4 linked regions of the Notamacropus eugenii genome follow. The protein of the gene in region 3 interacts with the protein of the main gene of each other region in a pairwise test. Links are inferred from orthologs where the notes say so. Each region holds a gene or a part of one and is shown on either strand. Other genes may lie near its edges.

Region 1 (8,018 bases), on a different chromosome or scaffold from region 3:
CATACACAAAGAGGAATTCCTACCATAACAATCCTTACCTTCTGTGGAAGACATCCAGAGAGGCAGAAGTCCCTTCTCCTACAGTGCTTCCCACCTCCCTTGTGGCAGGCCATCCAGAGGCCCCTAGGGGACTCTTTTCTCCAAGCTTTTCCTTGGATTTTTAAAAATTTATTCCCTGCCTTGTATTTCAAGGCCAAATTCCAGGAACTCCTCACCAACTCCCCTCCCCCAAGGGGAATCTCTTTTCTTCTGGGAGTTTCATCAAGGTCCATTAGCAATAATCCCCCCTGCAGAGAAGTCTTCCCAGACAGCCCAGGGAACAATCTGTCCTTCAAGGACCAGGTCACAGGCATCTCCTTCTAGGTAGCCCCCAAGGCCATTGAGCTCCCTCAGAGATCTGATCTGTCAATGAGAGGGATAGGTTCCCCAGCCTGGGGGGGGGGGGGACTTCGCAGGGGAGCTCCTACTCTGGGGAGGAGGATTGAACAAGAGAACTGTAGAGCCAAAGAGAGCACGGGGTGAGGTAACCCCTCATTTTACAGAAGCCTGGTCACAGGTCAGAGGTAATAAGTGTCTGAAGCAGGATTTGAATTCTGGTCTTCCTGACCCTACATCTAGCATTCCTAGATGGCACGAGGCTGGGCACAAAGACCTCAGTTTTCTTCTCCTGAAGATTCCAGAGGGGAGAGGGGCAGTTCAGAGTTGGCCAGTAATGAGTTCTGGCCTAGAAGGTCCCTAAGGGCCCTTTCAGGCCTCTCCTCATTCCCTGGGTGGGAGGGAAGCTGGATGCTTAGGTGTGGCTATTGGAACACCTGGGACAATGGATCAGGGAGGCCAGCTTTCTGAGCCTTATGGCCCAACTGCCTCCTTTATCCAAGAAGGCCCTGGGGCAGGTTCTGGATAAAGAGACAAGAGATGGGGTTCAAAATCCAATGCCCTCTCCCTGGGGAATGCGGGGGCAAGCCTCACCAAAGAGGACCAGCTTGGACTGCAAGGTGCGAAGGTAGAGGATGTAACAGGCTCCGAAGAAGACAGCCAAGGCCACCAAGAGCATGGGGGACGAGACCCTGTGGGGGCAGTGGGTAGAGACTCAGAGACTGCCTGGAGACAGCACTGGCCTGGTGGAGGGCCAGGGTCACAGGCTGGGACCCTGACCAGAGGGCGGAGTTTACAGCTTACAGAGGAGGCGCCTTGGGGCGGGGCTCCCAGCTAATCGAGCAGACTTCTCAATAAGTTTACGCCCTGGGGGAGGTGGGGGTCTCAACCGAGTTTGCTTCCTGAAGGCAGGTTTGCACCTCTGTGTCACAGGGGCCAGGGGCTTCTCCTTAAGTCTGCGCCACGGGGCGGGCCTATACCCAGTACGTATCTGACAGACCAGTGGTGGCTAGGTCTTGGGGAGGAGCGGGGCTCACACCCAGTATGTATTCTAGGGGCCAGTGGTGGCTAGGTCTTGGGGAGCAGCGGGGCTCACACCCAGTATGTATCCTAGGGGCCAGTTTCGGCCAGTGGCTAGGTCTTGGGGAGGAGCCGGGCTCACACCCAGTATGTATCCTAGGGGCTAGTTTCGGCCCGGTGGCTAGGTCTTGGGGAGGAGCGGGGCTCACACCCAGTATGTATTCTAGGGGCCAGTGGTGGCTAGGTCTTGGGGAGCAGCGGGGCTCACACCCAGTATGTATCTTAGGGACCAGTATCGGCCCGGTGGCTTGGTCTTGGGGAGGAGCGGGGCTCACACGCAGTACAGGATGAGGCCCAGGAAGACGAAGACGTAATTGCTCTGGTAATGCTCGACGTTGCGCACCAGGCGCTGGCACAGCTCGCCCAGGTTTCGAGGCTTCGAGAAGCGCCGCTGGTCCAGGAAAGGGCCCCAGGGTCTGATGGTGGCCCGGCGCTGCTCCAGCCACTCCCGGCCGGCTGAGCCCGCCGGCATCAACTTGGGCAGCAGTGTCCTAGCGCAGACAAGGAAAGTGGCTCGGTAGGGGATAAGGTCCCAAAGTGCAGCAGGAGGTGCGGGACCAGGACACGAGTCCCGAGGCGCACGTCGAGGGGATGAAGGAAGAAGGATGCCCGAAGGGGGCAGAACTGGGACATCAGGATGCCTGAGTCCCGCTGCCAGGAGCTGGGCATGAGGAGTCAAGACAGCTGGGTCTCCGATAGGAGTCGGACACTAGTCAAGGCACTAGGGTTCCCCAGGGAACCACGGGGTACGGCTAGGGATCTGGACACCAGAGAAGGAGGTAGGGCTAGAGAGGACAGTGCCACCACTGGGGCACGGACTGGGGGTCTGAACGCCAGGGTCCCAGAGAGGACTTTGGGAGGTTAGGATATTGGGTGCTGGGACAGCGAGGTGCCTGGGAGGTGAGAATGGGGGTCCAAATTCCTATGTCTTGGGGTGGGGCTGACAGCACTTTCTGGGTCCCAGGGGGTGGGCTGAGCTCTTGTAGGGTTGAGGAAGGAGGTGTGAGACTGGGCATCTGAATTCCTGGGTCCCAGAGCATGGGATGGGGGTCTGGACCGCTGGATAAGGGGGTAAGGATGGGGGTCCGGACTCATGCAGGGTTGGGGGAGGGACGGCACTGGGCGTCTGAATTCTTGGTTCCTGGAGGGCGGGGGTCCGGACCCCTGGGTGCCGGGGCATGGGGGCCCACAGTCCTGGGGTCCCAGCTCACTTGGCACTGAGCCCCGGACTCTCCTCCTCAGTCCCGGGGTTAAAGTCGCTTCCCGCCGCCATCTTCTCCAGCTGCTCCTACGGCTGTGGGGGGAGAGCAGGGAGAGCCTTGTTGCTGCCTCCAGGAGGCACCCCCCCGGGCGCACGCCCCTCCGCATCCTCCCGGCCCGGGCCCCTCTAACTCACCCCCTGCTGCTGCCGCCGCCGCCGCCGCCTCCGGATCTGAAGTGGCTGCGGGACCGTTTGTCGTGGCCAGGAGGCTGCTGGGAGTCGTAGTCCGAGGGCTGTGGAGGGAACTCGGGCTCTTCTGCGCCGGATTCTGGCCTACCAGAAGGAGAGGCGTGGGAGCAAGGCATCATGGGAGTTGTAGTTCGGAGCGGGGGAGGGCTTGGTAGGCGTTCTTTGGGGCTCTCTCTGGTCCTTTGATCCTAACTCTCTAGGACTATAAATTACAGAGAATGTGCCAACTTACATAGGTAGAGGGAGTTTCAGTTAGTGAGAACTGGTGAGGGAAGTTAGGTACAGCTACCAAGTGATTAGGAATTGCAAAAGAGAGTGTAAAGGAGGTATTCATTAGGTTCTAACCAAGTTAGTTGAAATGACAAGGAATTGGAAAGTTGAGTACTGAAGATCTCATTGGCCTCGATTCCTTCTTTGGATCCCTAGATTCCTCCTTCATAAAAATGATTAAAAGAGGAAAATAGAAGACATCTTATTATATTTTGGGACTTTTTTGTAGGTCTTAGATAGCCAAAAATCTTCTGAAGGCTTTGGGTCCAGAAAAGATTCCTCTTCAGAGGTATTTATTGATGTTGCCAAGGAAGGATGACTCCATTTCCGACTACTTGTCACTGATCAGGGTAACACATTCAATTGTAAAACTATTCATAAATGTCCAAACTAGTTAAACACATAGCAAAGTAACCTTTAAGTAACATCTGTAGCTACTCAAGGCAAAAAATCTGCAAGAATTCAATTCATTTGCCTACTTTTTTCCAGATTCAGACATTTGACTATTTTGAAATGTTCTGACTGGTTTTGAATTTCGCACTTTTATCCAGATACTAAAACAACATAGATGCAAAGTTCCTGCAAAGAAAGGAACGTTCTTTGATCTGATTGGTATAGGGTGGTGCAGTGGATAGAGCACCAGTGCAGGAGTCAAGAGGACCTAAGTTCAAATCTCACCTCAGACACTTGACACTCACTAGCTGTGTGACCTTGGGCAAGTCACTTAGCCCCAACTGCCTCATCCTGGGTCATCTCCAGTCATCCTGATGAATATCTGGTCACTGGATTCAGATGGCTCTGGAGGAGAAGTGATGCTGGTGACCTGCACAACCCTCCTTCACTCAAAACAAAGTCAAGTGCAAGTCATGTCATTATGGCATGGTTTTCTTTGGCAACGAAGGACAAACACACACACACACACACACACACACACACACACACACTCTGATCCTTAAGGTGACTTTGGGGAAGTGGATCTTTGGTTGTTGCCCTTCATCTTTCAAAAGAACCAAAATGATATCACTATGATAAAGTGAAATTTCAGTATGTCTGACTGTGGCTGATCAGACCAATATGAGTTCGAAATGCTCTACCACAGGTTGGGCACAGATAGTCCGTGTAAATTTTGGGGTGGATGTCTCAGATTTGAGCATCCTACATTTACTTTGTGCTGTTTCAATTCTGCTTTGCTTAAAGAACACAGCACTTTTTCTTAAGTGGGCACACCATGTTGAGCGGTCCTGTGCCAGTGTCTCCCATGTTGCACAATCAAATCCAAAGTTCTTGAGAGAGACCTTGAGAGTGTCCTTATATCATTTCTTCTGCCCATCATGTGATCGCCTGCCTCATGCGAGTTCTTCATAAAGTAATCTTTTTGGCAAGTGTACATTTTGCATTTGAACAATGTAGCCAGCCCCTTAGAGTTGTGCTCTCTGAAGCGTAGTTTGAATACTTGGCAGTTCAGCTCGAGCAAGGACTCCAGTATCTGGTACCTTATCCTGCCAGGTGATCCTCAGAATCCTCCTAAGACAGTTCAAGTGGAAGCGATTCAGTTTCCTGGCATGGTGCTGGTAGACTGTTCATGTTTCACAAGCATTGTAACAATGAGGTCAGTCAGCACAACAGCTCTGTAGACCTTCAGTTTGGTAGTCAGTCTAATACTCTTCTCTCCCAAGCTTTTCTTTGGAGCCTCCCAAACACTGAGCTAGCTCTGGTAATGCATGCCTCAACCTCATTGTCATTATGTACATCCCTGGAAAGTACATTACGAAGGTAAGTGAACTTATCTACAACATTCAAAACTTCTCCATTTGTTGAAATTGATGGTTCCATGTATGGATGGTGTGGTGGTGGCTGATGGAGCACCTGTGTTTTCTTGGTGTTAATTATTAGTCCAAAATGAGCACAGGCAGCAGAGAATTGATCCATACTTTGTTGCATCTCAGCTTCAGAGGCTGCACTGAGTGCACAGTCATCTGCAAACAGAAAATCATGCACCAACATTCCCTCCACTTTGGTCTTGGCTTGTAGCCTTTTCAAATTGAAGAACTTACCATCAGTATGGTAGTTGACCTTGATGCCGTGTTCATCCTCATTGGAAGCATTTGTCAACATGGCTGAAAACATCATGCCAAAAAGCATGAGAGCAAGCACACAGTCCTATTTCACTCCATTAGTGACCGGGAAGGCACAAGAGCTTTGTCCATTATCCAGAACCCGAGCAAACATGCCATCATGAAATTGATGTACTATATTGATAAACTTCTCTGGGCAACCAAGTTTTGTCATAGTTTTCCATAAGCCCTCACGACTAAGGGGAAGTGGATCTAGGATAATATGACAGTTGTAGTTCCAGTGTCTGAAGGAGCAGGGCATTGTGGGAGCTGTAGTCCTTAGGCCCAAGAAATGGACACGCCTTAGGTTGTTGGAATTGTGGGAGCTGTAGGGTAGGTTGTAGCCCTCAGGCAGAGGGCATTGTTAGAGTTGTAGTACTGAGGTCCAAGAAATGGACGAGGTCTTGGATCGTTGGGATTGCGGGAGTTGTAGTCCTTAGGAGTAGGGTAGTCGAACTGATTCCAGGGTAGTGTGGAGAGGCCCTGGTGTGGTGGCAAGGGCTGTCCTCCACGTGTAGCCTGAGTGTGTCTGGGTGGTGGCTCTAAAAATAGGCATCTCTAGCTTTTCCTCCCCATTCTTGTGGGGATGTGGAGAGAGGATAAGGGGAGAAGCAAGAGGGTAAGGCCAGAGGCTGACCACTCTGCTCTCCTCGGAGAGAGGGTACCAGGCTGGACTTCTCTATCTGCTCCTTCAGTCTTGTCATCTAGGGAATGTGATTGTCAGGGGCTGTCTAACTTCTGATGGCTCTCTCATTATCGGGGGAGAGTGGGACCCCAAGGTTTGTATCCAAGACTTGACTCCTTTTCCATCAAATGCCAGGTCCACAATGAACACACACTGGAAGTAGCAAAGAGACCCATCTCTATCCGAGTGGATAGAAAATCACATCAGAGAATGTCTATGTGGGAGAATCTACACCCAACAGTACAGAGGGAAGGAACTCTCCCATTGGAGCGGGGTAACAGCTGAAAGGAGAGAGAGTCCTAGATCTCACCATGGGGAAAACTCCCCAAAGTCTCTAGTGGGGCAAGGTGGGGACAGGGCCACAATGGAGACTTCCCTTTCTTATGCTGGCTTCTCCCAAGGCTTTTCCTTCATCCTGAAGTGGGGTTGGCATCAAAGCTAGAAACTAGAAGTGCCCAAGGGGATGGAGAAGGTCAAAAAGACCCAAAGCTTGAAGAGAACCCAAAGAATGAAAGAGACTAGAAATCTCCTCCTCCTCCAGTTGGAAAGAACCTCATCCCTTCTCTTGGGAGAGTGGTAGTCATAGGATTTCAAACTGTAAAGCACACACGTGCTTATAAATGGGTAAAGGCAAGAGAGGCCTGTGTTCTTCAGTCATTTCCTGTTTTTCATAGACCCTTTTGGGGTTTTCTTGGCAGAGATTTTAGAGTAGTTTGCCATTTCCTTCTCCAGCTCATTTTACAGATGAGGAAACTGAAGCAAACAGGGTGCAATGACTTGCCCGGGGCCACACAGCTAGGAAGAGGAGTCTTCCTGACTCCAGATCTGGCAGTCTATCTGGAGAGGTCTTCTCTGGTTTCCCAGGACTCCACAGGTACATGAAGGTGGCTATGGCTGACACACGGTATGCTTTGGAAGCAGTAGTCCTGGACCTCAGGAAATAATTGGAAACATAATTTCTGGCAATCTGATGTATATATTGACAAAATAATAATAACGGAACATTGTAGGAGCCTTAGCATTGGTCCATTGACAGGGGTGCATGGTGATAAATGTTGAACAACTGACTGAAAAAAATATACTCAGAACACACATTTACATTTAGCCTTCACCATTAACGTCTTGTTCATCACTTTCTTAAGTCTGAACAATCCACAAAACAGTGAATCCAGCCCTGCTTTGTAGCATTTTCTGATTTCCAAGGTGTCAGTATTCATGCTGAAAAAATAATAATCAGCTGTCAGAGCCAGAACGAGCTGCCCCCAGCACACCCCTGCATGTATTGCATTGTGGCCCCTGTGGTACCTCGGAGCCTTAGTATTCAGACACTCAATACATGTTGTGAGTCACAGGATATGGAACTATGCCAGGCCTAGAGGCCTGAGGGCTACCCGAGTCTTACCTTACCTATTGCAGGTCTTCGGCTGGCCAAACCGGATAAACGTATGAGAGAAGAGACTTTCCGGAGTCGAACAAGGGTTAGGCTTTATTCAGGGTCCTGGTTACATGTGCAGGGGGAACTCTTCCTTAGGAGAGAGAGAGAAATCTCCCAAGGAGGCAAAGATCTTACAGTAAGAGAATGAAAGCAGAAGTGGAAGTGGGGAGAGAGGGGGGAGGGAAGAGCGAAGAGAGGAAAAGGGGCCTTCTGTCCTGTAAGGGCCCCTCAGCGCTAAGAGCGCCTTCGGGCTTTCCTGACCCTACTTAAGCTCTCCTGCCGCATAGTTTGCACCTGAATACCGTGCCTGTTAGATTACAATAGGTGTGCCCAGATCCGGGCCAGTCTCGAGGGCGGGGATGCTCTCTCCCATCACGTTCTCACGGGAAGAGGCGGAAATACACGAGATCTCACTCCTCAATTCCCTGCTGTTTCCTGGGGGGCCTCATGAGAACTCTAAGGTTTAGAAGCTCTCACCTTCACCCGCCCGAGACTATCCACATGGAACTGAGCTTACACCCCCAACAGAACTATAAAAGCCATCTAGGTTGATACCTCATTTTACAATAGAAAAAATGAGGTTCAAAAAGATGTCTTCTCCACCATCAC
Region 2 (7,105 bases), on a different chromosome or scaffold from region 3:
CCTCCACTGAAATACCACAGCTCTAAGGAGTTAATATGGTACTGTAGAGGCTCTGGGTTCAAATTTTGACTATGTGTCTCCCAGAAAGCCTTTCTCCTCCTCATATAGGAGTCATGTGGGTTGGGGACATCTCTTTCTCCTTAGTCTTTCCACTTGTTTCCCTGGACCACCCAAGGGAGCAAAAGCACTAGCATTTCCAGTCTCTGGCTTGTGGGTTGTCCCTGTTGTCCCTGATTCTCTTGCCCTGAATGCCTTCCCTGTGGACTTTGGTGGGAGGGACCAGTAAGGTCCTGAGCTCTTGCCTCCCACCCTGCATCTGCGCTCATCCACCCCAAGACAGCTGGAAACACACTCAGGCTCCCCGCTCCACCCCCCCCCCCCCCTTTACTGGGCCACCTGGGATTCCAAAAGCTCTTACTTAACAATTGATCCTATTCCCAGAATGTCCCCTCACCCTTTTCATCCCTGTGTGGATGTGAGTAGACAAATAAGGGTCTGACACACGGACTCAAATGCTTTCAGTTTAATTTGGGGACAAGGACAGAGAGCTGGGCTGGGGAGAGTCCTGGCCTCGAAACCACTGGGAGCCAGCCTTCAGAGATTCGGCATTTGGTGATATCTGGGAAATGAAATAAGCAGGCTTGACGACGTTAGTTTCTGGCCAATATTTTTTCCTGAAAAAATATAAAGCAAAGCGTATGAGATGAGGGGCCTTTGACCAGAGAGCATCTCATATAGCCACTTTCATGTCAGGGAAATTGGCCAAGAAGCCACCTTAGTGACTTTCTGAATTTTTTTAAGTTTTGGAGGCACCTGGGCTGGTGCCCACTGGGGGCATTGTAGATGATGCCTTTCTCCCCTGGGGCCTTTTTTCCTTTCCTGAATGTTTATGTTATTTTGAGAGTTTCACCTAAAGGATGACATAGTGGTCCAGCCTGTGGGGAAATCAAGCTCCAAACAATCAAGGTACGAGGGAAGGAAAGGATAGAAGAACCCAAAGGCCCATATTTACCATCAGCCTCACAATGTCCATTTTGGTCACCTCCGAGAGGGTGTCCACCTTTGCTTTCAGCAGCTTCCCAGCCGCCTCCATGGCCTCATCGGGTTGGAAACACTGAATGGCTTTGAGATACTCCTGGGGCGTGCCCTTGAACAGGATGTTGGCCACTTCTGGGAAAGTAGGGCAGACTTGGGCAGAGGCTGGAGGGGAGATAGAAGAGGGAGGCCTGGGTTTATCAAAGCCATTTTCCAAGCACAGCTGGCCCCCCAAGAGGGACAGCCATGATCCTAGGAGTTAGAGCCTTGAAGGACTTAAAGGGTCAGTCAGTTCTGCCCTTTCCTATGCGACTCAGGCAAGGGAAATGATTTAACAAAGGTCACACCAGGAATTAATGCCCCAAATGAATATGCGCCAAGACTACAAACTTGGTTCTTTGTCTATGTCCTCTATCCATTGTTGCCTCCAGACAGGCATTTTGACTTCATGGACTCACGGATTCATATTTGATGCTGATAATATCATTCATAACGATAATGATAGCTCAATTAATCAATCAATTAATCAACAAACTAATACCATTTATGAATTCCAGTGGAGGAAGCTAGGTTAGAGCCCTGAAGCTGGAGTCAGGAAGACTGGAATTCAAATCTAACCTCAGATACAAGTTGTGTGACTTTGGGCAAGTCATTTAGCCTTTGTTTGCCTCAGTTTCCTCAAGTGTAAAATGGGAATAAAAACAGAACCTACCTCACAGGAGGATCAAATGAGATAATATTTGTGAAGTGCTTAGCATAGTGCCCAGAACATAAAAGACGTTTCTTCATCCTATTAAGTGCCAGGTACTATACTGGATGTTGGACATAGCCTCCAGTCTTCAAGTATTGCAAAATACTTTCTATGGCTATGTATATATTAGTAAATATATGTTTATATATAATATATATTCATACATATGTGTATGCATATTTAAATACAATATACAAATATAATAAAATATAATATAAAAGTGTAATCTATGTGTATGTAAGAGCCTGTCTGAACTTCAGTTATTTCCTCTTTACATTGGGCGTGAGAACAGCACTTATCTCCTATTTTCCTATGATAATGAATAGAGAACCCTGTCTGACCCTTCCAACTCTATCTAACCATCATCTCTCAGAGTTCTGGACCTAGAACCAGGAAGGCTTGGGCTCCAATTCTGTCTCTTACACTTACTAGGCTTGTGATTATGGGCTAGTAATCTGACTTCTTCGAACCTTTAGAACCCATCTGCCAAATTAACTGCGCTCTGTGCTGGTAGACACCGAGAAAGTCACGAATCCTCGATGGTGCAATGGTAAGAGTCCTGGACTCGGGCAAAAGACTCTAGTCTCAACTCTGACACTTCCTGGCTACCAGATCTTGGGCAAGTCAGATTGAAAGGTGGAAAGAACCTTTTAGGTCATTGAGTTCTCGGGGCCCTCATTCTACAGATGAGGAGAAAGAGACCCAGAGAAATGAAAGGATTTGCCTAAAGTCTCCCTGTACCAAATGGTAAGGCTTGAAATCAAGCTGAGGCCATGTTGTTTCATCGTTCTGTACCTCAGTTTCCTCATCTGCAATGAAAATGTTGACATGCTAATCTTTACACTTTCCACATTATTGTGGAGTGAAAGGAAGACATGGTCTACTTTAGTGGTTTTTGGTCTCAGGACACTTTTATACTCAGCGAGAACTCCCCCAGAGAGCTTTGAGTGGGTTATCTATCAATATTTACTGTGTTACAATTCAGAACATTTTATAATTTTTATGAATTATGAATTTTGACCTTTCCAACCCCCTGAAAGAGTCTTGGGGGTTCCTGGGGGTCCCTACACTTTACCAAGAGAGCTGCGGATCTACACCTTCTCCTGCCTCAAGCCTGTACGTACTCACCCCAGTGGCAGCAGAGGGCCAGGGCAACCAGACTGCAAACAATGATCAGCTTCATGGTGGAGCCGGGTTGGTCAGTCTGTGTCTGGAGAGGTGGTGGAGGTACTGTCAACATAACCCACCAAGGATTCGCTCTTATGTCCTGTGGGGAGCTCCTGGACCATCCCCTTGGGTGGAGGAGGGGAGAGGAGGGGTTCTACTGCAATATTTACTCAGATCTTAGGTGAAAAGTGTAAACATTCTGCCTGTTGTTGAACTTCTCTTTCCCATGGAAAAAGGTCCTACGTAATGTGACATTTTAGAGACTACTCAAGAGCTTCTTTGTTCTGGTGGCCACAGGGTGCTTGGCAAGGCATGGTCTCATTCTAGTTGGACCAAAAGCTGGTGAAAGATGGAAGGGACTGTGAAAAGGACCTCAGAATGTCAACACACATGTAACCTATATCACATTGCTTGGGGGGAGAGTACGGAGGGACAATTTAGAACTCAAAATTCAAAGAAAAGAATATTAAAATTGTTGTTACATGTAATTGGAAAAAATAAAATATTAATTTAAAAAAACAAATGAAGAATGTCAGAGCTGGAAGGGACATTAGAATATGGAATGGCCGAGCTAAGAGACTACTTAGAATATGGTGAGAACCCAGAATGTCATGGTCAGGAGACACCTTAGAATATGGAAAGTCAAAGCTAGAAGGTGTCTAGGGTGTCAGAGCTAGAAGACATGGAAAGAATCTTATGACACAAAATAGAGACTTCCAGAGATAGGAGAATTATGACTTTGGGACATAGAATGAGAGAACTGAAAAGAGCAGATCTTAGCATGAAATATCCATAGTATGTCAGAGCTGAGAGAGACCTTAGAAGACAACTAGGAGGATGGGAGCTTGTGTTTTAGAACAAAACATCAAACTGGAACAGAGGGACCTTAGCACATAGAACATAGAATGTCAGAGCTGGGAGAGACTTTAGAATATCAGAACTGGAAGAGTCTTTAGAACCCAGAATCCAAACTATCTAAGTTAGGAAGGCTGATAAAGATCACCTAGTTAGCAGCTTCTGCCCCTAGCCATTTTACAGATGAAAAACTGAGGTTAATAGAAGAAAAGGAATTTGCACAAGGTCACACAACTCATTGGTTGCAGAGCTGGGGCAGGAATCCTGGCCTCCTGACTCTCGAATCAAATCAAAGTATTTATGAAGCACCTACTATGTGCAGGCACAGTGCTAAGTGCAGAGCATGCAAAGAAAGACAAAGTTAATCCTTGCTCTAGGCCAAGGCTCCTTCTTCAGACTATAATGATTCCAGAGGAGGTGGCCTCTAAACAGGAATGCTGAGACCCTTGGCACAGAGGGAGAGCCTGTGCTTCCAAGTGGCTGAATCCAATCTGAAATCCATCCTGATCCTCAGGAAGTCCAAACCCACTCCATTATCTCAGGCTGAGCCATCACCTTCTCCTGTAAGCAGCTGCTACTGAGATTTGGTCTTGGGGAAAGAATGCTAGACCAGGTCAAATCAGGAAACTTGAGTCCTGGCTTTGGTGGATCTTCCTAGTGATGTAATGTTGGAAATTAGCTGAGTTTGCCTTGCAGTCTCCATCCTCTGTAAAATGGGGACAATCGCACTTTCATAGTCTCCTCTTTCACCATGAGTTCTTCTTGGAAGATACTTTATAAACACTAAAGTGCTATCCAGATGGGAGTTATTATTAGTGGCGTCCTCAGCATACTGCAGGGCAGGTGGGGTAGTGAAAAGAATTCCAACTCAGGAGTCAAAGGGCCTGGGTTCAAATCTCTGCTTGGCCACTTTCTCCCTCTGTGACAAGTCGCTTTTTTTCTTGGTCTTGATTTTCTCCTTTGTAAAAAATAGGGGGGTGGGGGGAGGGAGGAATGATCACAAAGGTCCCTGATCCTCTGTTTGTACTGTAACAGGCTGGAGACAAAAAGGCCTGCCCCTGGGAAGGGCCTCCTGAAAAGAAAATTCATCTTTTGGAAAAGAATTTGCTTGTAGTGGAGGCTGCAGCTGAATGCCAGTTCTCGCTATGCCATCTCCGGGACTTTGGGATTCCTCCTGCCTGGTCTCTTTTCTTGTGCTCTTGCTCTTACACTACTTCCCCCTGTTTCTACTAGCAATGCCCCAACATCCCTCTCATCCATCTGTGATGACACTGAACTTCTCAGAAAGGTTGGAAATAGAGGCAAGAGGAGGCAAGGGTCTGTGTAATGTAGCCATGTTTCTTCTCCTAATGCCAAGTCCAGTGCTCTAACCACTGCATCATTCTGCCTTTATCGGACAAGGGGCAGCACTCAAGACCTATGGCCCAACCTCATGTGGTTGGACAGCCTGCTCTTTTCCTTCATTCCTCTCCTACCTTCTCTGTAAACTAAGGGGATTGGACTAACTCTTTAAAGGCCATCTCCAGTGCCATATCTATGATGTAAGTTGCTGGCTGACCAGAGAGGATTCCCCTGGTTTGTTACCAGCTTGTCATATCAACAGGAATCATAGCTGATCTTTATAATGTGCTTTGTGATTTCCCAAGTTCCCTGCATGCACTGGCTCACATCCTGTGGCCAATAGCTCCATGAGAAAGGTTAGGTTAGATAAGGAGACTGCTCTCTTCCTCAAGATTCAGAGAAAGTAAGCCACTAGGGACAGTTCATGGAACAGAATCCAAATGGTCTGACTCCAGTCCCAGACTCCTGGGGCACTTTGGGACTCTGGAGCGTGCCTGATCTTTATGTGAAAAGTCTTCCCTCTGATGGGGAGGGGATCCTTTCCCCTGGAGACGGGAGAGGTTCTCTGACAAACTGATGCTAAGGAAAAAGTTGATTCAAAGCCTAGGTCCCCTCTTCCCCCTTACAGTGAATCAGGGAAGGGTCAATGACATCTTCATGATCTTTTGGAATGGGAAAAGGGGCCTGGATTTCACTGGAGGTGGGGAGGTGAGGAAAGCTAGCTGATTCTGCTGGCTTTTGCAAATGGGCTGAGGCATAGAAGCAGACCAGACCATTCTTGATCAGGGGCCTGGGATTGGGACCAGTGGTATCCTGGTGAGCTCTGGAGGCCAGATTACAGATGAGTCTTTATGGGCTGGATGCTAACCTCATTTGCTTCTAAATGACCCCTGGCATTTCCTTTGCCTGGCTGTATTAATATCGGAAATTAGAGGGAAGGAAGACAGCACATTGGAGAGAATGCTGTCTGTGGAGGCGGAGGACCCGGGTGCACATATAGTTCTTGTTCAACCCTCTGTGGCCAAACAGAGCAAAGTGAGCCCCTTCTCCCTCTGATCCCCATGGCTGGTCCTGGCTAAATTTCCTGAGTTCTTTTAGATAGAAGCCTCTGTTCTCCTCTTATCATCTTGGTCACCATCAGTCACTCCTTTGGCTCATCAAAGTCCTTCCTCAAGTGTGGAACCTCTCTTGACCAGGGCAGAGGAGGGCAGAACTATTACAAGAGTCATATTTTGTCCTTAATTAAGTTTATTGTTCTCCACTCAAACTCCCCCCAACAAGACTCATCCTAATTGGGGATGCTCAACTTCTCTCAATGCTACTTAATCTCAAATGAACTTTCATAGGCTATTGGGATCATAGATTTAGAGCTTGAAGGGGCTTTAGAGGCCAATGTCTTTGTTTTGCAGAAGGGAAAACTGAGCCTCAGAGAGATTAAGTGACTTTTCAAGATCACGAAGGGTTTGAATCTACGTCCTCTGACTCCAAATCATTGTATCAGTCATGCTGCCTCCCAAGTTTTCTTGGTTGCCATATTCTTGCTTTGATTTTATACCTGATACCAGTGCCAGCTCATATCAAGTTAATGATCCACTAAGCCCCCTAGATATTTTTCAAGAAACCTGCTATCTAGCCACACTTGGAACATAAGTGCTTGGGTACTTTGAATCCAAGTGGAGGACTTTACATTTGGAATATAAATAGAATGTTCCAGATCATGATAAATGGAATGTGTGCAATTGTAAGTTTTGTAAATGCCTGTTGAGTAAACCAAATAATGAATGAGTGAATGAATTCATCCTTTAGTCAGAGACGTCCAGTTTCTAGATCCCCATGGGGCTTGAATTCTTTACTTAGTTCTAGCACAAATAGGGGAGGGGGCAAAGGAAGGGTTGGAACTTAATCTCCCCCAGTGCAGATTTGGGAAAAATAATCTATCTCCCCAGGGAATGGTAA
Region 3 (7,388 bases):
TACTGACATATGTGCGGAGTCACAGGAGAATTCTGTAAGGCACTTGAGAATAACTGAGCATGTGAGGAAGCAGGGGTTGTATTTGTTATGTTAACAATTAAATTAAGAATTTGAAAGAATCCCCATCATAGCATACCAGACAAGTTATTATTCAGCCTGTGTGAAGACCTCCAAGCAGGGTGGATTCATGATCTTGAGGCATGTCATATACTTTGGGAAAACTCTTAATTGTTAGGAAATTCTTCCAGACATTGTGCCCAAATGTGCTTTCTGAAACTTCTAGCCATTGAAAAGAACAAGTCGATTTCCTCCCCCATAAGACAGCCCGGTACTTGAAGTAAGTGATCATGTCCTAACTGTCCTTTTGAGGGGCAGGAAGGAGTCTTGGAACATGTAATGGAAATACATATTTTGGCAAGTGATATAGGCCTAGAGCCATAAATAATTCTGATTCACAACAACCTTTTAGTATGGCTTCTTAGTATTATTAGACTATGTGAGTTGTGGCTGAAAATATTAATCACTAGATAGCCAACCTTGTGGATATGAGCCCCTCTTTACTTAGCCAGGGTGGCTCTTGGATGAGAAATGCAAAATCTTTTCCAGAGGCTGTACTCAAAGTTTTTCCAGGCTAGTTTCACCTATCAGAGTTTATGTTCACTTGGCATAGCCTTTAAGAGCCCAGGGTCACTTCCCTCTTACGGCAAGGAAAGGAATTACAGGATTTCTGAATTTAAAAAAAAAAAATCCAATCAAGTTGCAAATGGTTGCAGGGTCTTGCCTAAGCAGCTGGGGGGTATACTGGATAAGAACAGTGGGCCTAGAGAGTCAGGAAGACCTGAGCTCAAATGTGGCCTCAGACTCTTAGTGGATGTGTGACCTTGGGCTAGTCACTTAAGACATTCTGGCTCAGTGTCTTCACCTGAGCAGTGTTTCAAAGAGAACAGTTAATTATTTCCTCATCACTGCAGTAGCTGGCCCTGGTGTTTGCTGAGTAATGCCACCAATTCACTCTCTAAAATGACCAGGAGGAATGATAATGGCACGTTACTTTCTTTTTCTGCCTTCTGTACTACACCACCTAGAATTTAGTGGGAGGGAACAAACATTTATTAAACTCCTATTATCTATATGCTAGGCACTGTGCTAATTACTTTACACATACTGTCACAACCTTAGGACACAGCTACTGTTATTAGCCTCATTTTACAGTTGAGGAAACTGAAGCAAAGGTTAAGTGACTTGCCTAGGGTCATGTAGACATTCAGTGTTGGAGAATGGATTTGAACTGAGTCTTCCTGACTCCAGTCAAGGCATTCTATCCACTGCACTGTCTAGCTGTTTCAGGCAATTCTGTTATCAGGGCTCTGGACTTAAGATGATGGGCAGTTCTTTCTAGCCTCACTGGGCTAGCTTGACTAGTGTCCCTCAAAATGTCATGCCTCACAAATCCAAAGGTCATCTGACTATTTTCGAGGTCTCTTGAGGAAGGGATCTTTGTTCAGGTATGGTTTAAACTAGATAGTCTCTGAGGTCCCTTCCAACTCTGGGACTTTGAAGACTTTTGTATTTTCTCCCTGACGTGGGGAATGCAATCAGTGAGCAGCCATTTCCCCATTCCAACTAAGAAAGCAACAGCACAGTCTGCTTTATCACTTTCCAGGCCATCTGTCTTTGGCTTCTGGTGAGTTCTCTGTACTGCAGAAGGATGCTGCATGATAACTCTAACTTGCTGGACTCTTCAGTAAAAGTAACCAAGGTGTCAGAGGGACATATAGACCCATACGATACCTTTATTACCACCCAAGTTCATAGAATATGGAATGTTAAAGCCATAAGAGGAATTAGAAAATGAAATGTTAGAATATAGAATGTCAGAGCTAGAAAGGGCTTTAAAAAGCATTTAATGAAATCCCCTTTCAATTTAGAGAGAAGGAAACTGAGGCTCATAGCATCTCAGGCCTAGGACAAAGAATCCAATGACTGGCAGAACTGAACATAACAACAGGAACATCCCGGTGCTTGACACAAGGAAGAAAAGTAAATCAGACAAAACCTCCTTACAAACCTTGCCCACCCTCCGTCCCCCTGAATTCCACAAACGAGAGCATTTCCAAGGTCACACAATGAGTTGTGAGCCTACAACCCTTCTGAACTCTTTCCACCATGATCCCCCCAAATCCTGCTTTAGTGCATTTGAGAGATTAAGCTGAATGACGCTTGCCCCCAGGGAAAGGGCATGACGGGGCTGACTGCTGAGAACCGGCACTTCGGGTACCAGTGTGCCACGTCTCTACAGCACTGCTCACCCCTCTCTCCAGACCCCCTGCTGTCTGTGGTCCCTCCCCTCCCCATTCGGACTCGTCTCTGGGTCACACGGACGCGAGCCTTGGGCATCCTGGCTCCTTGACTCCTTGCCCCCCAACCCACCGGCTGCCACACCCAAACTGACCTATTTGCACAATCTAGACACATCAAAGCCCCCGGGTGGGCCCCTCCCCCCTTTCCCCAGGGCTTTCCCCAGGACTCCAGGAGGATGGACCCCTTTCCACCCTGGTCCTGGCGGGGTCATTCTTCTCAACCGGCTCCTTCCCCCAGGCCCAGGATCGGGTCCTCTGCCTCCGCCCCCCATCCCCATCCCAGGGTGTCCACCATTAACTCCATTACCAGTTGTCCCCCTACCCGCCGCGTACTGTTCTCCTTCTTGCACCAACCCAAAGGCTGGGGGGGGCGGTCTCCTCTGGTCCCCCTCCCCCGGTTCTTCCCCCGGCCCCCCACCCCTCGCCGGTCCTTCCCCCTCCCCCTCGGGGTTTCCTAGGTCCGCACCGTTTCATTCCCGGTACAAGGCAAGAGGGGTGTTCAGGGGACGGAATGCGGAGGCCCGCTCGCTGCCTAGAAGGGGGCACACACCCTCTGCTCCCCACTCCCCCGACCCCCCGTTCCCCCTGCCCCTCCTTTCCCTACCTCTCTACCTGGCCGCCTGCGGCTCCCGACGCAGCCTTTCCCAACGACTTTTCTGCGCACGCGCGCCCAGGCTTCTCCGCTGGCGGCACGCGAGGGTTCGGCACGTCGCCTGTCAATCAGAAGTTGGCTCCACCCCCCTCTCTCCCAGGTGGTCTGGGAGTTGTAGTTATTTCTCCGCTCAGAGAGCTGGGCCTGGGAGTCGGATAGGGAAAAGAGAAGCATAGAGGGGTGTGGACCCTGACTGCGGAGACGCCTAAGCAGCAAGGAGGCGTCTGGAGAGGTGTGTTACTGCTTGTGTCAGGGACGGGGACCATGGACAGCGAGAGGTCTTCATGCCACCGTAGGATTTAGAGCTGGAAGGGACCTTAGCGGGCAAATCCGAGCCCAGGGGCATTTACGGATGGGGAAACTGAGGCCCACATCGATCAAGTGTTTACTAAACGCGGCTAACACAGTGCCAGGTGCAAGGGGTGCTAGTACGCAAAGAATGAAACAGTTTTTTGGCATGAACTTACATTCTGCTGAAGGATTATGTATTTTACAATTACCAGACCCTGAAAAAAATGTGAGAAGATACCCCTTCCCCTCACCCCATTCCTTTGCAGAGGAGGGAGGTCTGCCAGTGCGGAACACTGCATGTGTTTTGAGACTTTTTTGATATATTGATTGATTTTGCTGGGTATTTTTCTCTTATTTCTCTCTTTGTCCTCTTTTTTTTTTAATCTTTTAAAAATGTTTGTTGTATGAGATGCCTTTCTGAGAGGGAAGAGGAAAAGAAATACTGGGAGAAATTATGGTGATGTGAAAAATCAGATACCACTAAAATTATTTTTTAAAAAATACAAATATACAAATACATATGAAGTAGTTAATTATACACAAGGTAGTAGAGTCAGGAAAGGCTTCATGTAAAAGATGATGCCTAAGATATGTCATAAAGGAATAGAAAGGTCTCTGAAGCAGAGGTAAGAAGGAAGTACGTTTCAGGCATGATGGATGGCCAGTGCAAAGAGACAGAGGGGAGATAAAATTTCCTGGGTAATAAGATGTGAAAGAAGTCCATTTTATCTGAATTACAGAGTAAGGGAGGAGGAGTAATATCCAAAGAGGCAAGAAAGATAGGTCGAGGCCAGTCTGGATAGGGTTTTAAAAACTAAACAGAGAAGTCTGTGGTTTATTCTCAAGGCAATAGGAAGTCACTGGAGTTGACTGAATAAGGGGAAATCACATCTCCAGATCAAAGCTTAATGAAAATTGCCTTGGAAGATGTGGTGGATGGACTGAACCGGTAAGAGATCTGAAATAGGGAAACAAAGTAGCAGACAGTTTCCCAGAGATCTTATGTGACTTATTTAAGGTCACAGAGGTAGTATGTGGTAAAGTTAGGACTCAAACTCAGGTCCTGTAACTCCAGAGGTTCTTTCTACTCCACAGGTTTGCCCAAGGTCATACAGGTATATGAGGTATGGAATTTGACAGGAATTTTTATGTAGTTGGTTTTGGGATGAGATTGGGCTAAGGGCCGTAATATCGGCAGTGTGGTACAGTGAGAAGAGCCCTAGAATGGGAGTCGGCATACCTGTCTTTGGGTTTCCCTTTCTGGTCTCAGTTTCTTCGTCTACAAAATGAATGGGTTGGATTAGATGATTTCTGTCTTTCTTCCTAACTCTAAAACTTTGTTTTCTATCCTTTCCTTGTTTTAATATCCCTTTTAGTTTTAACATTCCTTATTCTATGTTCTAAGGTCCCTTCCAGCTCTCACATCCTGTAAGGAAGTCACACTCTAAGGAGGTCATGCATATGAGCACAGAATCATTTGGACCCCTTGACCACATGGACCACAGTTACATGCATAGCAAAGAAGCCAGTGCCTAGGATTAGAGGCTTGAGGTCATCTAGAAGAATGGATTCCAACCTTTTCAAATATGAGAACTCCCCACATACAATACTAGTTGTACCATGGGGTTCATTGACTGAGGATATGCGTGATAATAAAGTGCTACTATAAATTCAGTAATTTATTTAAAGTAATTTTGATATTACCAACCCTAGCAAAACTATAAATTGTATAAATAATATGAACTAATAAAAAAGTAATTAAAGTACAATAAATAATATAGATATATATTTGAAAAATGGAAACCTGAGGGATATTGAGTCTATAGAAGGTACATTTACTTGTGCATTTAGCCGAATATTTTGTTGGAGCAAAATAAGGATTGAAATTGTACTGTTTGGGGCATATCTTCAAGGATCCCTTGAAATAGCTTCACAGCCCCACCCCAGAGGCCCTTGACTCAGAAGTTGGACACCCTAATTTTGAAGTTTGGAAAAGTGAGGCCAAGAGAAGTGAAATGACCTGTACAACCTCCCATAAAAAGGGGGATGGCCAGGTTATGAGCCTAGGTCTTCTGACCCTAAAGCAGTGACCTTTCTGGTTAAGCACAGTTTTGTGCTGGTTAGGTACCCCAGAAATACTGTGTTTCCAGGGAACCTGTGTGTCCTATACCAAGGAACTCAGCATTGCACCATCGTGAGTAGGGAATATGTTAGCCTGAGTTACAAGCAGATATAAGGGAGGTGTCACTTTCACAGTGACTTAGGGCATCACATTCTCTGAAACACGCTTCATCTTGCTGAAGAGGGAGACACACTTAACTGATGAGTGATTAGCTTTCCCCTGAGGAGCCATAGGCCTGTGGTTTCTGGTGAGGTTTCCAAGGCAGGCTGCAGTTACTCTGTCAGAGTGTACATGGCCCTGACACTGATCTGAGAGGACTACGTAAGGTGGTAACAGGAGAATACCAAAGGGGTCATGGATATTATGGCACCTGTGGCAACTGGTGTTGAATGTAGGAATGTACTAGGGAGACACTTTGGCCTTTATTCTACCCCAATTTCTGCTTCTTCTCTTGCTTCTCTCATGCTTCCCTCCCGTTTTGACTCATATCATCTGAATCTCTGACTTAGAAAGAGCTTCAGGGCTCACCTTCCTGAGCGGGAGTCCCAGGAGTTCAGTTGGTGCATGTGGGGCAGAGGACCTGAGTTTGAGTACCATCTCTATTACTACCTATGTGACCTTGGACTAATGGATTTACATCTCTGACCCAAGTTTCTTCTTGTATAAAATAAGTGGATTAGGCCAAATGGAGAAGAAAATAAACCAAACATTTGAGTATCTTCACCAAGAAAACTTCAAATGAGGTCACAAAGAGTTGGACATGATTGAAAAATGACTGAAACAGGCCAAATAAGTGATCTCCAAGGTCTCTTCTAGCCCCAAACCCTCTGATTTCTCTAAAATCAATGACAAGTGGTCCAAGGGGAAGGACTTCATGGGTTGAAAGAAAACGTTGCTCTACCACTTACTAGCTGTGGGAGCTCAGGGAGTTCAAGTGTGTATTGAGTGCCCATTGCATATCAGGCTCCGTGTTAGGCACTGGGAATAGAAACCAAAGTTGAAACAATCCCTGCCCTTAATGTGAAATTATCTTTTCTATTCTTCCAACCCCTTTGTCCCCAATTCTTAGGTCAGGGCTTTCAAATGGATCATTTGACTAAATCCTTGCCTCCCAGGCAGCATATCGTGGACACACAAAAATTTATCAGAATTCATTATGTTGCCTTAGGGCTCTCTGTAATTTCAACATAATTATGGAGAAGTATAATATATAGTTCCTGCTTCCAAAGATTTTATAATCTGTTAGAGATGACAAGTATTCATTCATTTAATAAACATTTGTTAAGTGCCTGTTATATGAGAAAACTCTTCTAGGACTGAGATATAGAATTTAGAGAAAACATTGTCCCTGTCCTCATGAAACTTACCATTAAGTAAGAAAAGTAAAACACATATAAACCTAATATATGATATTGCATAAATGCACTAAAGTATTACAAACGTGAGATCCACGGGTGAAGGCTTCATAGTGGAGGTACAGTGTAGTATAAGTTGGATTTTAAAGTATGTCAAAATTTAGTGAGTAAAGAGGTGGATGGAGGGACACATTATGAAGTACCAAGAAATGAGCAGAAGTCCAGACTGGGCTGAAGACCATTAAGGCAGTGAAATGTAGAAGGAAGAGCCCTGAGAGTCAGGAGTCCTGAAATTGGCTGCTCTCTCTCTAAGAACCTCAATTTCCTCATATACAAAACAAATAGGTTGGACTAAGTAATCTACAAGATATAGAAGACAGAAGAATACATGGTACATTAGGGTAACAGAAAATTTTAGTTGGAGTACAGGACAGGTGCATAAAGTAAGATCAATCAAGGTTGGAAGGAAGGAGATGTACCAGATTAGAGAAAGTGTTGAATATAAGACAAATGAAACGGAACTCTATTTAGGAGCTAATAAGAAGTCACAGCACATCTTTGAATCAGTGGGTAACATAACTTAATCCACAGATAAGAAAGATTATTCT
Region 4 (6,967 bases), about 95 Mb from region 3:
CAAAGCAGAAGAGGCTACCAGAGGCCCTAGGACCAGGTTCAAGTTTATTTTAACAGCTCATGATTGTAATACTTCTATACCTGCCAAGGGTTGGGGAAAGGGACCTTCTCCCATCCCCTCATGGGAAGTCCAAAAAGAGAGAATCGCATTGCATGGATATTAGAACAAGAACGGAAGCTGCCTTTTCTTTTAAACTGATGCAGCTTATCCCTTTTAAATACTTGGTCTCCTCAGGAAATCAGATATACCTCATTTGGCACATTTGTCCACGTCCCCAGTTTTGAAAAGTTCTCTGGAGTACTGAGGGAGGCTTGAGCCTTCTAACCTTCTAACTACCTTCTCCAGGAATGCTAGAGAGTTTCAACATCCACATGAAATGGTCTTCTAAATCCATTGAAAGAGTCCCAAGTAGTCCATTTAGGACTCAGACAATCTCAAGCATAAGAGCCTTTAGTAAGGGGAAGACCCAAGCTTGCCATAGCTAGTGGGCTAGAAATGACAATCACTCCTAAATACAATGGAAACTCAATAAATGACTAAGTCTATGAGTTGCCCCTCTGACCTCAGTGCATGGTTCTTAAAGATCTAGAATAAATTCCTATCTACTGCTAGTTGTTTAATACAGAGGGTCAGTTTACTTTCATTTTCCTTATGCTGATAATCCAGCTTTTTTTTTTAGAATCCTCAGCAGGATGTGGCATGTGAGTCCTGAAGCACAGGACCATAGGGTGCCAGGCTCTCGTATCAGCGATCATCTGGTGCTGTTATCTCTCCATCTTCCTTTCCCAGAATCAGTCCTGAGGTTATTGTATTCCAGTCCTGCCAAACATCCTAAATATTCTTGGCCAGAACTATTGAGAGTCAATCTAGGGGCTCAGGTTTAGGATTAGAATGAAATGACATAATTGCAGACCATATAATCTTTATTAAAAGGATTCTATTTAACAATAGCATGGAAGAGATGTGTAAAGGGAACAGGCATTTATTAAGTACCTCTTATATGTTAGACACTGCGTAAACACTTTACCAATATAATTTTGTTTGTTCCTCACAACAATCCTGGGAGGTACGTACTATTATTAGCCCCATTTTACAGGTGAGGCACTTGAGGTAGATGACTTGCCCAGGGTCATACAGTTAGCAAATGTCTAAGGACATATTTGAACTCAAATTTTTCTCACCCCAGGCTCAGCTCTCTCAACCTACCTGAGCCACCTAGCTGCCATTTAGCACAAAAAGGATACTCAGCAAGGATACAGCATTGGTTCAGCTGACAGTGCCTATCCTGTGTGGTTGGTCCATTGGGAAATGAGATCTGTCAGGAGAGTTATGGTGACTTCAGTTTGCCTTGTGTTAATTTTGTATATATTTTGAAGGTGTTTATATACATATAAATAGGATGTGAGTTCCTCAAAACCAGAGATTTTTTCATTTTTGTCTTTGTATCCCCAGTACCCAGCACCTGGGACATGGTAAATGGCACTTGATAAAAGCTTCTTGATTGGTCATTTGATTGATTGAATCAAATATTTCTAGAATTGTGAAAATGTTTATTTAGAATCATCCTCCTGGCTTTTGGAGGAGAAGATTGTGTAGCAGAAGAGACAAAAGAGAAGGATTTGAGCTGAATAAGAAAGTTAAGGACATCAGGGAGGTAACTTAGAGGGTCTTAGAAACGGGCAGTTGTTTAGAGATTGATCTGGGGAGAACTTGAAGGAAAGTTGAAAGAGAATAAAATTCAGCAAGGAGAAAGGCTAAATCTGCAGGCAAGAGCAGTATAAACAAGACGGTAAGGGAATAAAAATAACAATAATAAAAATAATGAGGTAATAAAAAGGATAAACAATAACATAAAGGGAAGAATAGGTCAGTAAAAAGTGAGAATAGGTGAGTAAAATAAGTTGGGAAGACAAAATCAGAAGTTCCTAAAGGGCCAGGAAGTTGGATATGACTATCAAGTTGGGGTGACGAAGAATGAAACCTAATAGAACCAGAAGAACAATTTCTATAACAATGACATTGTAAATTCCATTTTAATCTGGTTGGGGCTGTACTTGGGAGGGTTGTGAGCAGCATGCAGTTTAAAACTTCTGGTCTAGACAATGAAGAAAACAATAAATCAAGCCATGATTTGTAGGGTTTACTGGTGTCTGAGTTAAAAGAGCTCACGCTGAAAGTTTAACAATTGACTTTTGTGAGCTACTGTTCTGGCAAGCCCATGAGTAAAAGGACAGGAAAAGCGATTGAGCCTGTGATTTAATTGTTATAGAGAATTCCCAGGCGAGGAAATTCCTTCCACCAATGCAGATCAACAGCTTTTTGTAGGGGTGATACAAAATAAAGACTTCTAAAGTCCCAATAACACAAGTATGTGACACCAGTGTAAGTGAATCATTGTCCCTTCCAGACAAAATTTTAAGACACTTCTAACTTGTTAAAAATCCCCCAATAACTTCCTTTCTCCCAGTGAAAATCACTATATTCATAGATCATAAGATAATAAGACCACAGATTTCAAGCTGGAAAGGGCATTAGAAGTCATCAATTCAACTCCATTTTATAGATAGGGAAACAGAGTCAAAGAAACATGAAATGATGTTTTCAAAGTTGTACCATTGAGCCTAAGAAGCAGCAAAGCTGGGATTTGACCCTTGGTCCTCCCTCTAAATCTATTTCTTATACCCTGGGGCAGCTAGGTGGTGTAGTGGATAGAGCACCAGTGCAGGAGTCAGGAGGACCTGAGTTCAAATCTCACCTCATACACTTGACACTCACTAGCTGTTTGACCTTGGGCAAGTCACTTAAGCCCAATTGCCTCATCCTGGGTCATCTCCAGTCATCCTGATGAATATTTGGTGTCTGGAGGAGAAGTGAGACTGGTGACCTGCACAGCCCTCACTCACTCAGAAAAAGCAAAGTCAAGTGCAAATCATGTCATCATTTCTCTGATGGCATGGTCTTCTTCAGCAATGAAAGACAAACATATATTTCTTATACCCTCTAAGTACTAAACTCCTTGAGGGCAGCAAATACCTTGTCTTCTAGATCTTTATATATCCACAGACAGATGCTTAAATGATTACTGAATGATTCGTCATTTGACATGACAAAATAGGGTAGATTTGTTATAATGAATTCCAAGAAACTGCCCACATGCTTCCATTGTATTTCTATTGTTATTTATGGAATATGGGTAGAAATAATTTCACTTGGGCTTGGAAATATCGCTACTCTTTCTAAGATTTTTGCTGCAATGATATTCATCGTATCTGAACATAGTAAGCACATAGTAGACCCAGATTAAACATTTAATAAAAGCATGATTGATGGATTAATTTGAGCTCTAATAATGAAAAAAAAAGGCTCATGCATTATAGCAGTCTTCAATTTAAATAATGAACCACAGTTACAATGAAATCTTATTATAATACAACTTCTTGTTATCCAAATTCAACCGTACTAGAAGTCAAATCATGTTGTCTCCACAGTAATAAAAGTAACCATGATAATAATAAAGGTTCATTACTACATACAGTTCTTTAAAATTTTACATCTTAGTTTCCTAAATTACCCCATGTGAGGTAGGTAGCCTAAATGTTATTATCCTCACATTTTTACAGATGAGGAAACTGAGAGTAAGAAAGGTGACATGACTCGGTTCACACGGTCAATGTCAGAGTCACATTTGGTGAACGTCTGATATAGAATTATAAATGTATGGAGGTTAACGATTTCCACCATAGTTTGTTTCATGTCTGAACTAGTTGACTGGAAAGAGTTCTCTTGTCTTGTCATGCTGAAAATGACTCCTCTACAGCACTGAGTCCTGGATTAAAATGAAGGTCATTTTAATATCTGTGAAGTGGAAACTTGGATGGGATTGTGAGGCGGGATGCAAATGTAACAATGGCTTCCTTGAGTTCCATTGGCTTCAACCAAGAGCCAGATGTTCAAAGACAAGATAATATCATCAGGGAAACAGCTGGCAAACCTGGCCTCCCTTATGCCAGGTATGATCATGGGTATGCTGGGTGCCAGGGATTATAAATATAAAAGTGAGATAGTTCTGGCCCTCAAGGGAGCTTACACTCTATATCAACCTTGAATTCTTGAAGAATATTTGTTGTTTTCAGGACTGAAGTGATGATCATCACAAAATAGCTCCATTGATACAGAATAAGCTAACATTGGAATGAAGATGAGGGTCTAAAGTATAGCAATCAGAAACAGAGACCTATAGAACTAGCTAAAATTTAGTGTGTTCAATACTGACAGATTAGTTTGATGCCCACTGGAATTTTAATTAGATGTGCAATTAACAGTCACAGTCAGAATAAGAAGGATGGCGATATGTTTGTGTGGTGCCCTTAATAATGTATCCTAGCTGATATTTTATAAGAGAAAGGACTAGTTAACAAGCTTCTAAATTGAATTTCTTCCTATATTTCTATTCCTTGGGTAATTTGAGATTTTTGGTTTAATTAAAATATTGTATTGTCTTCAGGACTTGGTAAATACAAGCATGTTTGTATTTCATGAGTATGTTTGAATTTGACAAATTTGCGTTTATTATAGATTTTAAAAGGGAAGCAGTGTGGTATGATAAATAGAGAGCTGACCTCAGAGCTATGAAGACCTAGATTCAAGTTTAGCCTCTGGTATATACTATGTTTAGTCACATTACTAAGTATCCCAGTGCTCTAGGCCAGAAGGGTGAAACAGAAGCCAAATCCAGTTTAAAATGGGAAAAATTGGGAAATATTTAATGAAATAAATAAAAACACAATAGACTATAGATAATATGCATCTATGGTTTTCCCAGTCAATATGCTGTCTGCAAAGAACGTTATATATGGTTTAGTGAACTCCTTTTCAATTTGAGTTTGGTATAGCTAGGTGACACAGTGCATAGAATACCAGGTCTGGATCAGAAAGACCTGAGTTCAAATCTGATCTCAGGCTAGCTATGTGGTCCTGGACAAGTTGTTTAATCCTGTTTGCCTCAGTTTCCTCATCTTTAAAATTAGCTGGAGACGGAAACGGCAAACCACTCCAATATCCTTGCCAAGAAAATCCCAAAAGGGGTTATAAAGAGTCAGACACGATTGAAAAATAAAACAACCTCTGCTCTAGGCAACTCTTTAAAATTCTAGGTTGCAACAGTGTCTGTGATAAAGGCCTCATTTCTAAAATATATAGAGAACTGAGTCAAATGTACAAGAATACAAGTCATTTCCAATTGATAAATGGTCAAAGGATATCAACAGGGAATTTTCAGAGGAAGGAATTAAAGCTGCCTATAGTCATATGAAAAAATTCTCTAAATCACTATTGATAAGAGAGATGCAAATCAAAACAACTCTGAGGTACCACATCACACCTTTCAGATTGGCTAACATGACAAAACAGGAAGATGATAAATGTTGGAGAAGATGTGGGAGAATTGGAACACTAAGTCATTGTTGGTGGAGCTGTGAGCTGATCCAACCATTCTGGAGAGCAATTTGGAACTATGCCCAAAGAGCTACAAAAATGTGCATACCCTATGACCCAGCAATAGTGCTTCTAGGACTGTATCCCCAAGAGATCCTAAAAATGGGAAAGGGTCCCACATGTACAATAATATTTATAGCAGCTCTCTTTGTGATGGCCAAAAACTGGAAATCAATGGGATGCCCATCAATTGGGGAATGGCTGAATAAATTGTGGCATATGAATGTAATGGAACACTATTGTACTATAAGAAATGATGAATAGGAAGACTTCAGAGAGACTTGGAAGGACTTATATGAACTGATGTTGAGTGAAAGGAGCAGAACCAGGAGAACTTTGTACACAACAACAACCAAAGTGTGTGAGGAATTTTTCTGGTAGATTTAGCCCTTTGCAGCAATGCAAGGATCTAAAAAATTCCCAGTGGACTCTTGAGGCAAAATGGCTTCCACATCTGGAGAAAGAACTATGGAATTGGATTGCAGAATGAAGCAGACCATTTTCTCCTGTGTTATGTTATGTTTTGTTTTATGGTTTCTCCTATTCATTTCAATTCTTCTATTCAACATGACTAAAGTGAAAATGTATTTAATAAGAATGTACGTGTAGAACATATATAAGATAGCATGCCGTATCAGGGAGGGAGGGAGTGAAGAGGGAGGGGGGCAAAGTGGGGGAGGAAGGTGGAAAATCTAAGCTATATGGAAGTGATTATAAAAAACTGAAAACGAATAAATTAATAAAAAAATAAAATTCTAGGTGTCAATGAATATGCCAACTTGAATTTGTAAAGACAGCTTCTGTCTCGAATACCTGGGATCTCCTTAAACCAATGAAATCACAATTATCAATTTAAAAAGCAAAATAAAGCTAATTCAGAATCTCTCTTTTCAACAATTAGCCTTAAGACTGAAAGTAAAACCAAAATATAATTCATAAATTTTCTAATTGGTTTCCCTAGCTACATACATTAGCCAAAGCCTGATCTTAACAGTAACGTACATCTGTATGCACACTCACGTACCCTGTGGGTGAGAGTACAATATGTACTTCAAGACAAAAGACAACAATGACTGAAGTCTAAAGCAAGGAAGAATAATGAGTGAATCGTTAATTATGATCCTAATTATACTTCTGCTGCCAAATAAAATCATTTGTTTAAAGTAAGACATTTTGCTTTGATTAAAGACGTTCTCATTAACTGAAACATGTTAGTCAGTGAGTGAGTCAACAGACATTTATTAAGCATTGGTTTTATGCCAAGCAAGGTGCTAAGCATTGGAGATACCAGAAAAAAAAAAGTCAAAACTCTGGTCTCTGCCTTCAAGGAGTTTATTTTCTAATGGGGGAGGTGACATACAAACAACTATCACCATGCAAAATAGATTCAGTATAATTGGAAACTAATTTCAAGGGAAGGCATTGACAGTCAGAAAACAGAGAAAGGCCAGTTACAATAGATGCGATTTGAGTT

The links.
Region 1: the proteins of TRIM32 (region 3) and RABAC1 interact in binary tests that used the Homo sapiens proteins (3 or more experiments, as listed by UniProt). The two-hybrid records come from large-scale screens. The link is inferred for Notamacropus eugenii from reciprocal best matches to the Homo sapiens genes TRIM32 and RABAC1.
Region 2: the proteins of TRIM32 (region 3) and uteroglobin-like interact in binary tests that used the Homo sapiens proteins (3 or more experiments, as listed by UniProt). The two-hybrid records come from large-scale screens. The link is inferred for Notamacropus eugenii from reciprocal best matches to the Homo sapiens genes TRIM32 and SCGB1A1.
Region 4: the proteins of TRIM32 (region 3) and CLIP4 interact in binary tests that used the Homo sapiens proteins (3 or more experiments, as listed by UniProt). The two-hybrid records come from large-scale screens. The link is inferred for Notamacropus eugenii from reciprocal best matches to the Homo sapiens genes TRIM32 and CLIP4.

The regions. Positions count from the first base shown.
Region 1 is NC_092876.1:25,773,657-25,781,674, forward strand, and holds the start of RABAC1 (prenylated Rab acceptor protein 1), read right to left. Parts: upstream 3,010-8,018; 5' UTR 2,852-3,009; intron 2,750-2,851; 5' UTR 2,729-2,749; coding exon 2,667-2,728; intron 1,947-2,666; coding exon 1,731-1,946; intron 1,068-1,730; coding exon 970-1,067; intron 1-969. UniProt on the Homo sapiens protein: General Rab protein regulator required for vesicle formation from the Golgi complex. May control vesicle docking and fusion by mediating the action of Rab GTPases to the SNARE complexes.
Region 2 is NC_092873.1:15,569,417-15,576,521, reverse strand, and holds uteroglobin-like, read right to left. Parts: upstream 3,039-7,105; 5' UTR 3,027-3,038; coding exon 2,915-3,026; intron 1,201-2,914; coding exon 1,013-1,200; intron 675-1,012; coding exon 651-674; 3' UTR 509-650; downstream 1-508. UniProt on the Homo sapiens protein: Binds phosphatidylcholine, phosphatidylinositol, polychlorinated biphenyls (PCB) and weakly progesterone, potent inhibitor of phospholipase A2.
Region 3 is NC_092872.1:436,320,043-436,327,430, reverse strand, and holds the start of TRIM32 (E3 ubiquitin-protein ligase TRIM32), read right to left. Parts: upstream 3,050-7,388; 5' UTR 2,965-3,049; intron 2,908-2,964; exon of another isoform or gene 2,827-2,907; intron 1-2,826. UniProt on the Homo sapiens protein: E3 ubiquitin ligase that plays a role in various biological processes including neural stem cell differentiation, innate immunity, inflammatory resonse and autophagy.
Region 4 is NC_092872.1:530,826,452-530,833,418, forward strand, and holds the start of CLIP4 (CAP-Gly domain-containing linker protein 4), read left to right. Parts: upstream 1-3,935; 5' UTR 3,936-4,010; intron 4,011-6,967.